Rattus norvegicus: one gene and its partners. The protein of the gene in region 3 purifies or fractionates together with the protein of the main gene of each other region. This does not show direct contact. Links are inferred from orthologs where the notes say so. Each region holds a gene or a part of one and is shown on either strand. Other genes may lie near its edges. The genes, in order: Phlpp1, Ago1 and Fkbp5.

Region 1 (3,747 bases), on a different chromosome or scaffold from region 3:
GAACAGATACTAAAATACTGCTAGAGTTCAGGTCACATCAGAGGCAGTAATCACCGACATTACTAAGTCTAGTCTGTTTCAAGTCCTGTCGCAGTTCTGACAATAAAGGCTGCAAGACAGAAGCAGGCCAACTCATCTTTTATGCAAGATTCAAACTTGGAAAGTGAAATAAAGTAATTAAAAACGCCGAAGGTGAGCAACACTCAAAACAACAAACATACACACACACTTCTCGGGTGTCTACAAGAACTCAGTGAGCAAAGAAGCGTGGCAGACGGTGGAACAGGAGCATCAGTTGACAAGAGCACAGCCCCAGAGGCCCACACACACTGCCTTGTCTATGAATGGTAAACTGTGGACAGCTGAATAGGGAAGGCATCATGGAACACTTTCCGTTGGTCATTGTCCTCTGTCTATATTAATGTGTTACCTGGAATCCCAAACCGCCTGCAACCCAACGAGAGCAGAGGCCTGGAGGAAACCACCTTTACAGTTAAGGACCCGTACCCCTCTTAGGTGTTTCCTGTATTTCCAGGTGACTTTGCCACCTCGTCCACCCGGCTTTCCAACCTCAGACCTGGACACTAAAAAGTGCAGATTTAAAGAATACTGAATTTAGTACTTGCACAAACAGCATGTGAACCAGCTAGAAAAGACTGCCAGACTCACCAGGCCCCTCGAATCATTTATCGGTCCGGGCCAGGGTTCGAAGCCGCTATACAGAAACATGCATGCAACTTCCTTACCTGCATAGAATCGGATGAGGCAGCCAATCTCCGAATCCATGCCTTCCTCCTGCACCCTCCACAGCTCCCCAAATCCCAGTTGGAAGAGGTAGTCATTTTGGATCTGCAATGGCTTCTCGTCCGCCTCCAGGCGCCGGGTAGTCTCCCCATGGAGCTGTACATACAGGGAGGGCGGAGAAGACGTCTTTTGCACGGTCTCCCGGATCCTCCCTGGAGTCCACAGAGGAACGCCTGGAGCTGCAGCTGCCACCGCCTTGTCGTCTCCGGGACCTTCGCCCACCACTAGGCCAGTGCCGTCTACGCCCGTCGGGGCTTTCGGCTGCAGTAACGCCGAGGTCTTCGGGGAAGGCGGTCGAGGCTGTGAGGAGCGGACTGGGTGGTGGGGCGGCCCGGAAGGCCCCGTCAAGACCGTGGCCGGGTCAGCTTCTAGTTCCTCGGACGAAGAGGAGGAGCCGCCGCCGCTGCTATAGGGGTCCAGCCGGTCTGACACGCTCTCGGCGCTGGGGCTCAGGCTGAAGCTCTCGGTGTCGGAGGCCGGGCGCGGGGCGCGGGACGGGGAACAGGGGCCGCCCGCGAACAGCTCTCCGGGGCTGGAGTCCGAGGGCGCAGGGTTGACCCGAGGTGCACAGCGCGTCCAGGCGCCCCCGGGCAGCGGCAGATCGGCAGGAGGCGCGCGCGCAGGGCCCCGGACAGCACCGACCGTGCTGCTCGAGGGCGGTGGCTCCACGTCTCTTCCGAGCTCTGTGGCCGGGGTCTGATCGCTGGCGGCCGGGGCAGCGGCCGGAGGTGGCCCGTGGCCCAGCACCTTCACCACCCCGCCGCCTTTGTGGCCCAGCTGCAGAAGCCGGGCGGCCACCTCGGCGGCTGTGGTGTCCAGCGTGCAGAGCACTGGGCGCAGGTAGGACGAGGCCATGTGGCGGTCAAAGACGTGCACACAGCCCCGCTGGAGCTGGTGCCTCACCCAGTCCCGGTCCGACGGCTGCAGCTGAAGCAGCTGCCGGTGCTTCTGGAGCAGCGTCTTCCTGTCCAGACTCCGGGTGCACAGCGACGCCGAGGCCGAGCAGGACGCCGGGAGGCCGCCAGCGGCCGAAGACGCCGAGGACGGCGATGAGGACGACGAAGCGGCGGCCGACAGATTCCTCTTCAGCCGCCCTCTCCTCAGCAGCAGCGAGTTGGCGCCGCCGCCGGCCGCGGTCACCGGGGCGGCCCCGCCGGCCGCGGGCTGGGGCACCCCGCGCCGACGCCTGCGTCCGGTGCCTCCCGCGCGGCCGGGCAGCGGCCCCGGCGGCGCCTCGCAGGGGGCCTCCTCTCGCGCCGCGCCGCCGTTCCCGCCGCTCGGGGCCGCCGCGCTCAGCACAGAATCCGGACTCCGTCCGCCCTCGGCCGCCGCCGCCGCCGCCGGGGCTCGGTCCTCACCCGTGGGGTCCGCGAGTCGCTGTGCCGGGGCTGCGGCGGCGGGCTCCATCGTAGCGGGGTTTCACGTCGCCCCCCCAGCTCCGGAGGCAGCGGAGGAGGAGGAGGTGAGGCGAAGGTGGGAGACGGCGGCGGCAGCGGCGCGCGGAGAACGGAGACGCCGATGGCGTTCGGCGCGGCTGTTCCAGAGGATTATGTGGCGATCCGGAGCATTCCGTCGGTGTCTCGGTGTTCCATCCCGCGCGCCGCCCGCCCGTTTCGCCGCCACCGCCCCCCCCACACACACCCTCCCCGCTGGTCCGGGGCTCCCCAGCGCCAGGCCCCGCCCGCTGCCCGTCAGCCTGAGCTCCCCGGAGCTGCGGCCCGACCTCACTCATGAATATTAATGAAGCGCGGGAAGGCGGGCGGTGGCGGGGCGGAGTTGCTCATGAATATGCATCGTTAGCATGACGACATTTCTGGGGAGAGCGGGAGGCTGGGGGCGGGGCCTCAGGGTAAACAAACGTGACGCGTGCGTATGGGGGTGGGGCAGAACTGTTTCCCAGGAGGTTTGTCCTCGCCATAGACGAGAGCTGGCGAGAGGGGCTCGCGTTGCACAGTGGGGGTTGTAGTTCATCTCCTGGGCGAGCCTCCAATGGAGACCAATAGCGAACTACAAGACCCAGATATCGTCAGATTCTGCCCTCCCTCTCTTCCAGCTTCTGGCCCTAGCTAGTGGGTATTGTGCCCTCTGCTGTTGAACTCTGTGTCCTGTGAACGTTTTTCATTAACTCGCTTCTCTACCGTTTGCCAGATGAGTTTTATTTTCCTGGCTAATTGAGATTGAGAGCTTTCAGGGACTCTAAACTCTAGGTAAGGCCTTTGAATGAGACAAAAATACACAGTTCACAGGATCGCTGGCCCGGTCTTCCTTTTTCCGCACTTTTTTCATGGTCCATGAAAACTAGCAGTGTTTGGAAATTCTTCTTTAGAAGATAGTTGAACGTGCTTCCTGTAAAGCACTCAAATTAAGCCCATCTACTCCCTCCCATATTAGGACAGAAATAGCTAAGGACTTGGGGCCTTGTATCCTGTTGGTAAAAGCTTACATAACAGAAAACAGTAGACGAAGGGAGAAATATTAGAATGGAGACATTGTGGGACTTGCTTTCTCTTAGTCCTTTCAGGATTTTTCTTTCCACACTCGGGGCTGGGTAGAGGGTGAATGAGACAAGGTTTCTCGGTATAGTCTGATCTCCATACTTCCTCAAACTGCTCACCACCTAGGCTTTAACTATGTTGTGTGAGTTCTTACTGTTGCAATGTATGATCTATAAACTTACTTTTTATTGGTTGAAACAAGCTGGTTTGAGGCAATTAACTATTTGAAATATTTGATAAACGTCGTGCATTGAGTTGCCACCCTCATAGTAGCTTTACATAGGTAGATACTCACTTTCGAGGCTTTGGGTTACATACTATCCAGAGCCTGCCTTAATTTTAGAAAACTTTGGTAGGAGAGAGAGAACTGAAATTCCTATCAAGGCAGCTTGGTTTTAGGTTAGCTACACATTTTTGTTGAAGAGGGATGAGAAAGCAGCCAGGACAA
Region 2 (3,647 bases), on a different chromosome or scaffold from region 3:
TCCCAGAAGACAGCACATCAACCACTGGGGTAATGGGATTTACATCACAGGTAATGTTTGTCTCTGGGTTTTGTTTTTTTTTTTTTCCTGTAGAATAAGATATAAAAATTCTCAGGTTACTCATTATCCCTAACTGCAGACCGCAGGAAAGAGAAATTAAGAGATAGCATGTATGTGAGTATCTGAAATCTCTGCCCTGACCATGTGCAAAAAACCCCAATACTATATAATAAGGCTGGGGATGTAGCTCAGTTGGCAAAGGGCTTGCCTAGCATACATAAAACTTTGGGTTCAATCCCCAATACCCCATAAATGCACGTGGTAGTGTATGCCTACAATCTCTAACCCTGGAAGGAGACAGGAGGATCAGAAGTTCAATGTTATCCCTGTCTAAATGTGAGTTCAAGGCCAGCCTGGGCTGGAGACATGTCTCAACCAACCAGTAAGCCAGCCAGCCAGCCAGCCAGCTAGCCAGCTAGCCAGCCAGCCAGTCAGCCAGTCAGTCAGCCAGCCAGCCAGCCAGTCAGTCAGCCAGCCAACCACTCACACAAACAAACAAACAAACAAACAAACAAACAAACAAACACAGCTTGCCCTTTTGCCTAGGAGTCCTGGAAGAAGATAAAAATAAAGGCAGGGATAAGAACAGAATTTAGGGGTTGGGGATTTAGCTCAGTGGTAGAGCGCTTGCCTAGGAAGCGCAAGGCCCTGGGTTCGGTCCCCAGCTCCAAAAAAAAGAACCAAAAAAAAAAAAAAAAAAGAACAGAATTTAGCCAGTAGGAAGTCTAGACTTCATACAAAAACAACCTTAAAGCTTTCTAGAACATCAACTTCTCAAACTTGAAAATGAGGAAAGGAGACTGTGACCGGCTCAAGAGACGTCCAGGACCAGTGTCGGCCAAGCCGTACTCTCTGGCAGGCAGCCTTACCTCGAGGGGCAAATAGGTATGCTTCTGCTCTTGCCCAACTTGCAGGCAGGGCAGGTGAGGATACTTGAGCTGAAGGTTGTATTTCTGCTTGAAATATTGTGCCACGGTGCACTCCACGGTCTGTCCGCTCTCCAGCTGCAAGGGAAACCTGTTTGGAGGAAGGGAAGGAAGCATCATAATTCAGTGTCAACCCCACCTCTCCACAGCCACAACCAAAGACCGCCTCAGGCCTCTCATCGTGGCTGCTCTCAGAAAGGCAATTGCTACAAGGCTTCACTGGAAAGCCTGAAGATGACAGAGCCGTTCCAAAAGGCCAACCCATCTCCCTCCTCTGTACTTCTAAAGCCCGAGTGGATGCCTACTAAAGGTAAGAGTCCAGCATAGCCTGGGATGAAGAAAGGGGACCACAGTATTTCATCAGGACAGACCCAACAGTAGTCGGTGGACCACTCACTCGTGTTTTACAGTAAAGGTCCAAGGAAGAAACTAAGAGATTAAGAAGGGAAAAGGGGTTGGGGATTTAGCTCAGTGGTAGAGCGCTTGCCTAGCAAGCACAAGGCCCTGGGTTCGGTCCCCAGCTCCGAGAAAAAAAAAAAAAAAGAAAAAAAAAGTCATGGAGAGACATGATCTGGGGAGGTCGAGGAAAGGATGTTTATCTTCAGAGATAGACTAGAAAAGTCTTATTCTGACAACACAGACGTTAAGTGGGTCAGACAGCTTAGCCGTGCGCTAGGTTGACCCTGCGTAGCGGTGCTGCCGACTTACGTCTGATGGCTAGCAGGGCGACGGGTAACATTACACACGCGGTATTTCCTCTTCATCTGTCCACAGTGGGTCACTTCCACCTTCAGGCCTGAGAGACACACACTGCTTGTTAAGGTGGGAACAGACTGCTCAGTTCCCTCACTGGCCTTCCCCAGAGGGATTCCCTCTTAGGGTTAGAGAAAGTGGCGCTTTCTCTTCCCCGTTTGGGTGGTGGGTCCTCACCCTTTATCTCCTTGGTAAACCGAACGCGCTGGGAATCCGTGAGGGGCTTGGGCTGTTCATCTATGTTCCTGATGTCCAGGACCTCACACATGAACTCAATCACTGGCTGTGCTTTGTAGAAGGCAGTGGCTGAGACTGTAGGGACAGGGGAGGGACAGCTTGGCTCAGACACTTTCAGGAAAGAATAAGTGGAGGCATTATGATTTGTACTCTCCTCTTTGCAGGGCACCGGGACAGGGACAGGGCGCCAGGGCTACAGGAATTAGACTGTGGTTGCAGAGCTGGGAGGGATGAGGCTGGGAGTGTGGTCACTGGATTTAGGGTGCCCCTGGCTCCATAGCTCTCCCCACTCACCATCAATGTTGAGCATCATCTTCCACATGGCAGGGCGCACAGACTGGTGAAAGCCGAACCAGACCTCGCGCCCACCCCCCAGCGGGTGGTAGTAGCCCTCAGGCGGTGAGAAGAAGGAGCGGCCCACAGGGGTGTACCTGGCAGGGACAGGCAGAGAACTGGTCCCTCGGGCACAGGCCCCCACCCTGTGAGGCATCCTGGGCACGGAGGAGCCCTGGCCTGGAAGGCAGGACACCAGGGCTTTAATGCCAGCTCTGTTCTTGGGCCAATAGTTAAGACTGACCTTGTTTAAGTTTCTACCTTTCTCTCTGCCCTGTAGGGATAGATGGAGTGAGGCCAAAATGGTATCTAAGGATGGGGCCGGGGGTCTAACCATCTAAACATGTGTATATATACTTGCCTCACACATGCATGGTAGGCCTTCAGTTCTTTTTTTTCCCTGAGGGACCTTAAGACACACTCACTCCCTCCTCCCCCAACAGCAGTTTTACCAACACTCGTAGCTTAGATAATAACTATACTCAGTACCTCATAGATGCCAGATGCCTCATGGCCACATCCAGGGCTTGCACGGACTCCAAGGGCACAGGGATCTGGCCACTGACCAAGGCTTCATGCAGCATGCGCCAGCTCACGATGGCTAGCCACTTGATGGAGACCTTAAAAATTCTATCCTTCCCTTCCCCAGGGATGGTCACCTCAAAGTCAACCTTCAAGATGGGAAGAAGAAAAGGGTGACGATCACATTTCTACAGATTAGTCTTCCTGTCCTACTCACTGTCTCCCACTCCACAATCTGCCAAAGCCAAGCCAACAGGGGCTCACACTGAAAACCCCCGAATAAAGACCCACACCCTGATTTCCACAGATGATGCTGCAGTGCTTCTGGCCCCCTTAATCTAGAAGGAAATCCTTTGAGTCTTTTTTTTTTTGAAGTCTAATCTAATTTCATTATTGGGGACAGGCACACAGTACACTAAGTGTCTACCCTGATTCATTATGGCCCCAAAATATACTTTTCAGCACAAAATAAAAGGATCTCTGGATCACTAGGTGGGCCTCCCTGGGCTTATAGGGCTAGCCTCAGCCCTGGCCTTACCCTCTCATTGCCAATAGGCAGTGCTGTAACTGTGTAAATGTTCTTCTTTCCATCGTACACAGGCTTGCGATCCCCAAAGATCTGCGGTTTGAAATGCTGGACCATGTACTCCACCACCTCCCTGCAAAGCACAGACGTGGCACGTGGAAGCTGAGGCTGTCACTCTGGCTTTTGGAAACAGCTCAAAATTGAGGCAACATCCCGTGTACCACACTCATGTTTAAGGTCTACTCCGTGGCAATACACCTCAAGCTTCCAACATTCCTATGAATCATCAG
Region 3 (3,647 bases):
GATCACTCGCCTGGGTCGCTGGAAGTGTTACAGGGGCAATGTGTATGTTTCAGCATGCTTCCAATCTTCCTAAAATGACCAATCTGGGTAAAATCTGGATCATCCGTCATCACACATATGGAACGCATTATTTTTAACATGTAATTCGATAGACAAGCTCTTTCAAAACATCAGTCTGTTGGGGAAAAAAATTAATGAAAGGTTCAAAACCACTGACCTAAGGCTTAGCCCAGAACTTTGTGTCCCACTGAGCACTTCCTGGAGGCACCTTCCTCATCCTAGGTGAGGGGCCTCATGCCAGCTTCAGAGGGGGAGGGCTGTCGTCGGTCCACGTTCCGTCTCCCTTCAAAGCTTGAGACGCCTTTCTTTTGTTGCACTGCTCTGTCCAGCGTCATCTTCCCAGGGTGTCTGATGTGACATTTGCCACATGCAGAGTGCGGGTGACTGCAGAGCCGCCTGGGCTCCAGCTCTGTATGTCTGCGCTCTTCATTCCCCTGCCTGTCTGGCTTCCAGCTGTGGGCAGAGGGACTGAGCGGGCAGAGGGACTGAGCGAGGTCCTTTCCACCTCTGAACGCTCTGCAGTGCAGGAGAGCACTGTCCCCATCCAGTTCTGAGAGTCAAGCACTGGTAGCGGTGTCACCACACACCACAAGGCTAGGGCCGCTCTGCTGTGTGCGGACATCTTGCGCCCCCTAGTGCTCCTTGGGAAGGAAGTGTGGCTGAGCTGGCTGGTTGGTTTTGAGGGCTGGAGAATTGTGGGGAGAGCTCTGCAGTGTCCTGGCCTCCCATCCTGAGTGCACTCAGGTCTGGCTGCCCTTATGCCATCCTGTCTGTCCTCAGGCTGGTAATCTGCTGCAGAGAAGAGCCCTCACCTCTACCCCGGTTTTCTCTGGGCTCACAAGTTGCCACCCACCATGCAGTGGTCACTGGAGCGGCAAGCACACTGTCTCCACACAGCTTGTTGTTCAGGGCGAGCGCCATGTGCACTATTCAGTTGTTCACCGCTGTCAGAACTCACTAATCAGCAGGAGCATGTGTGGAGTCTGGTTACTCTGAAACAGCAGTTCACAGGGGTCACGTATCCGATACCCTGCACATCAGGTATTTACACTATGATTCATAGCACTAGCAAGATTACAGTTATGAGGTGGCAACAAAAATAATTTAGGGGTCACCACAACATGAAAAACTGTATTAAAGGGTCGCAACATTTGGTGGGTTGGGAACCACTGCCCTGGATGCTGAGGAGACAGGAAGACGGACCATAAGTTTGGCACTAGACTTCACAGTGTAGCAAGGCCTTTTCTGCATGAAATAAAGGCCTGGAGAGAGCGATGGCAGGTATCGTGCTTGCTTAGTGTGCATGAGGGAGGCCTTGGTGCAGCAGAGGAGGCTGGTGGAACAGAGAAAGGTAGAACAGTTCCTCACACATCGAGTTTGCTCTCCAAGGTTGTGTGCACTGTGTGCTACCAACAGCCTATGTGTGTTCCCACTGCCATGGGTCAACACAGGGTGCTCTGGCCCCACCCACCTTTGATAACATGGTGCCAGGGGACAGCCCAGCTCTGAAGTCTGCCTATGCTGACTGCTGCTCTCCACGGCTCCTGGGAGCCGAGCACTTGCACAGCCTGCTTTAGACAGCCCAGGCCTGCGGTGTGGGGATGCCAGCTACCATAGTCCAGTGTTTACTGTCAGTGCTGCGATGGGGACGCCACCCATCGCACCAAGTCACCTCCTGTCTGATAAGCCAAACAGCTCACCATCCTTTGGAAGACTGAGGAATGTTGGCTCCCCGGCGCAACCTCCTGCTGTCAGGCTGAAAGAATGCCTGCTCTGCTGTTAACCTGGTCCAGGCCACCTCACAGGCCAGCAGGGCTTCCCCAGAACTAAGGAGAGGCAGGAGACAGAATGGGGCTGGTGTGCAGGCCTCTTCATGTGAGGACCCGGCTGAGGCAGGCCACACTCACATCAGTGGATCCTCTCCACAGTGATACAAGCCACTCTTTTTTTCTCCTAGGGAGGCAAGTACATGCAGGCCGTGATTCAGTACGGGAAGATAGTGTCCTGGCTGGAGATGGAGTACGGCTTGTCAGAAAAGGAGTCCAAAGCTTCGGAGTCCTTCCTGCTCGCAGCCTTCCTCAACCTGGCCATGTGCTACCTGAAGCTCAGAGAGTACACCAAAGCTGTCGAGTGCTGTGACAAGGTGGGTGGGCACCTCCGTCCATGTGCCACCTCTGCTCCCATCAGGTTCTTTATGGTCAGCATGAACCAGGACACCCTAGAGGATGGGGCTTTCTTTTTTTTTTTTTTTTTTTTTTTTTCTTTTCTTTTCTTTTCTTTTTTTCGGAGCTGGGGACCAAACCCAGGGCCTTGCGCTTGCTAGGATGGGGCTTTCTGTGGCTACCTTTGTCTTGCACTTTATACAAAACTGCTCACAGTGTTGATAACAGTCTTCATCGGTGGCCCTCTTTACCCAGGTTCTGGGTCTAAGAGTAGACAGGGAGAGAGCGCTGGGGATTGAACCCAGGGCATTGTGCATGCTAGGCAAACACTACCACTGGGCCACACAGCCTCCCCCCAGTGACACACTTCCTCCAACAAGCCACACTTCCTGATCCCTAGTCCTTCTAATTCTTTGAAACAGTTCCATTCCCTGGTGATGAAGTGTTCAGATATATAAGCCTGTTGGCCATCCTTATTCAAAGAACCACAGGGATCAATGCCATGGTCTTGGTATTTAGGAGGCAAAGACAGAAAAGTGAGAGTTCAAGGCTGCCCTGGGATAACAGGTTCTGTCTCAGAACAGTACTGTGAAGATAGCTCACTGGAAAGGCACGTGCTACCCAGCCTGATGACTTTGATTCCTAGGACCTACGTGGGAAAGAGAAGAACTCTGGCCTCTTCCACACTCCTACACAAGTGCATGACAAGTGGAATAACATTCGTACAGTACATGTGCAGACACCAACGTAATAATATGTATTTTTTTAAAGATTTATTGATTTATTTTATGTATATGAAAACACTGTAGCTGTCCACCAAAAGAGGGCATCAGATCCCATTACAGATGGTTGTGAGCCACCATGTGGGTGCTGGGAATTAAACTCAGGACCTGTGGCCAGTGTTCTTAACCACTGAGCCATCTCTCTAGCCCAGTAGTACATTTTTTAAGAACAACAAAAAATAAATGTGAAATGGCAAAAAAGACATTTTATATGTTGTAAGACCTCAAAAGAAAATAGAGAGTAAAAGAAAAAACACCTGTCCTCTGGTGTGTGTGTGTGTGTGTGTGTGTGTGTGTGTGTGTGTGTACACATACACAGATACATCAGATGCATGCACACACTTATATAATACACAACCCCAGAATGCAAAGTACTATAAGAACTAACTAGAGAAAGGTGGGACATAGTTACCATGTAGAACCAGGACTCTTTCCACATCAGTTGAGTATGTTCTGTGGCTCTCCCTCACTGTGCTTGGTGTAAAAAGACTCAACCCCTTAAGGACCATTCTGTGAATCGTGGGGATTTACTTCACTGACCCTCACAGGAAGAGTGTCCATGTCTGTTTTTATTATAAGGTTCATAATAATCCTAAGAGTCATAAGAGAAAGCTGTTGAGTGTCTCTCTCCACACGCGTTTAG

What was found.
Region 1: the proteins of Fkbp5 (region 3) and Phlpp1 purify together in Homo sapiens (affinity purification with mass spectrometry; 4 studies listed by BioGRID and IntAct, with this or other methods). This does not show direct contact. The link is inferred for Rattus norvegicus from reciprocal best matches to the Homo sapiens genes FKBP5 and PHLPP1.
Region 2: the proteins of Fkbp5 (region 3) and Ago1 purify together in Homo sapiens (affinity purification with mass spectrometry; 6 studies listed by BioGRID and IntAct, with this or other methods). This does not show direct contact. The link is inferred for Rattus norvegicus from reciprocal best matches to the Homo sapiens genes FKBP5 and AGO1.

What each region holds. Positions count from the first base shown.
Region 1 is NC_086031.1:22,821,845-22,825,591, reverse strand, and holds the start of Phlpp1 (PH domain leucine-rich repeat protein phosphatase 1), read right to left. Parts: upstream 2,461-3,747; 5' UTR 2,212-2,460; coding exon 747-2,211; intron 1-746. UniProt on the Homo sapiens protein: Protein phosphatase involved in regulation of Akt and PKC signaling.
Region 2 is NC_086023.1:144,031,507-144,035,153, forward strand, and holds part of Ago1 (protein argonaute-1), read right to left. Parts: intron 3,491-3,647; coding exon 3,370-3,490; intron 2,981-3,369; coding exon 2,799-2,980; intron 2,490-2,798; exon of another isoform or gene 2,467-2,489; coding exon of another isoform or gene 2,408-2,466; coding exon 2,271-2,407; intron 2,052-2,270; coding exon 1,917-2,051; intron 1,783-1,916; coding exon 1,695-1,782; intron 1,078-1,694; coding exon 930-1,077; intron 1-929.
Region 3 is NC_086038.1:6,463,457-6,467,103, reverse strand, and holds part of Fkbp5 (peptidyl-prolyl cis-trans isomerase FKBP5), read left to right. Parts: intron 1-2,017; coding exon 2,018-2,203; intron 2,204-3,647. UniProt on the Homo sapiens protein: Immunophilin protein with PPIase and co-chaperone activities. Component of unligated steroid receptors heterocomplexes through interaction with heat-shock protein 90 (HSP90).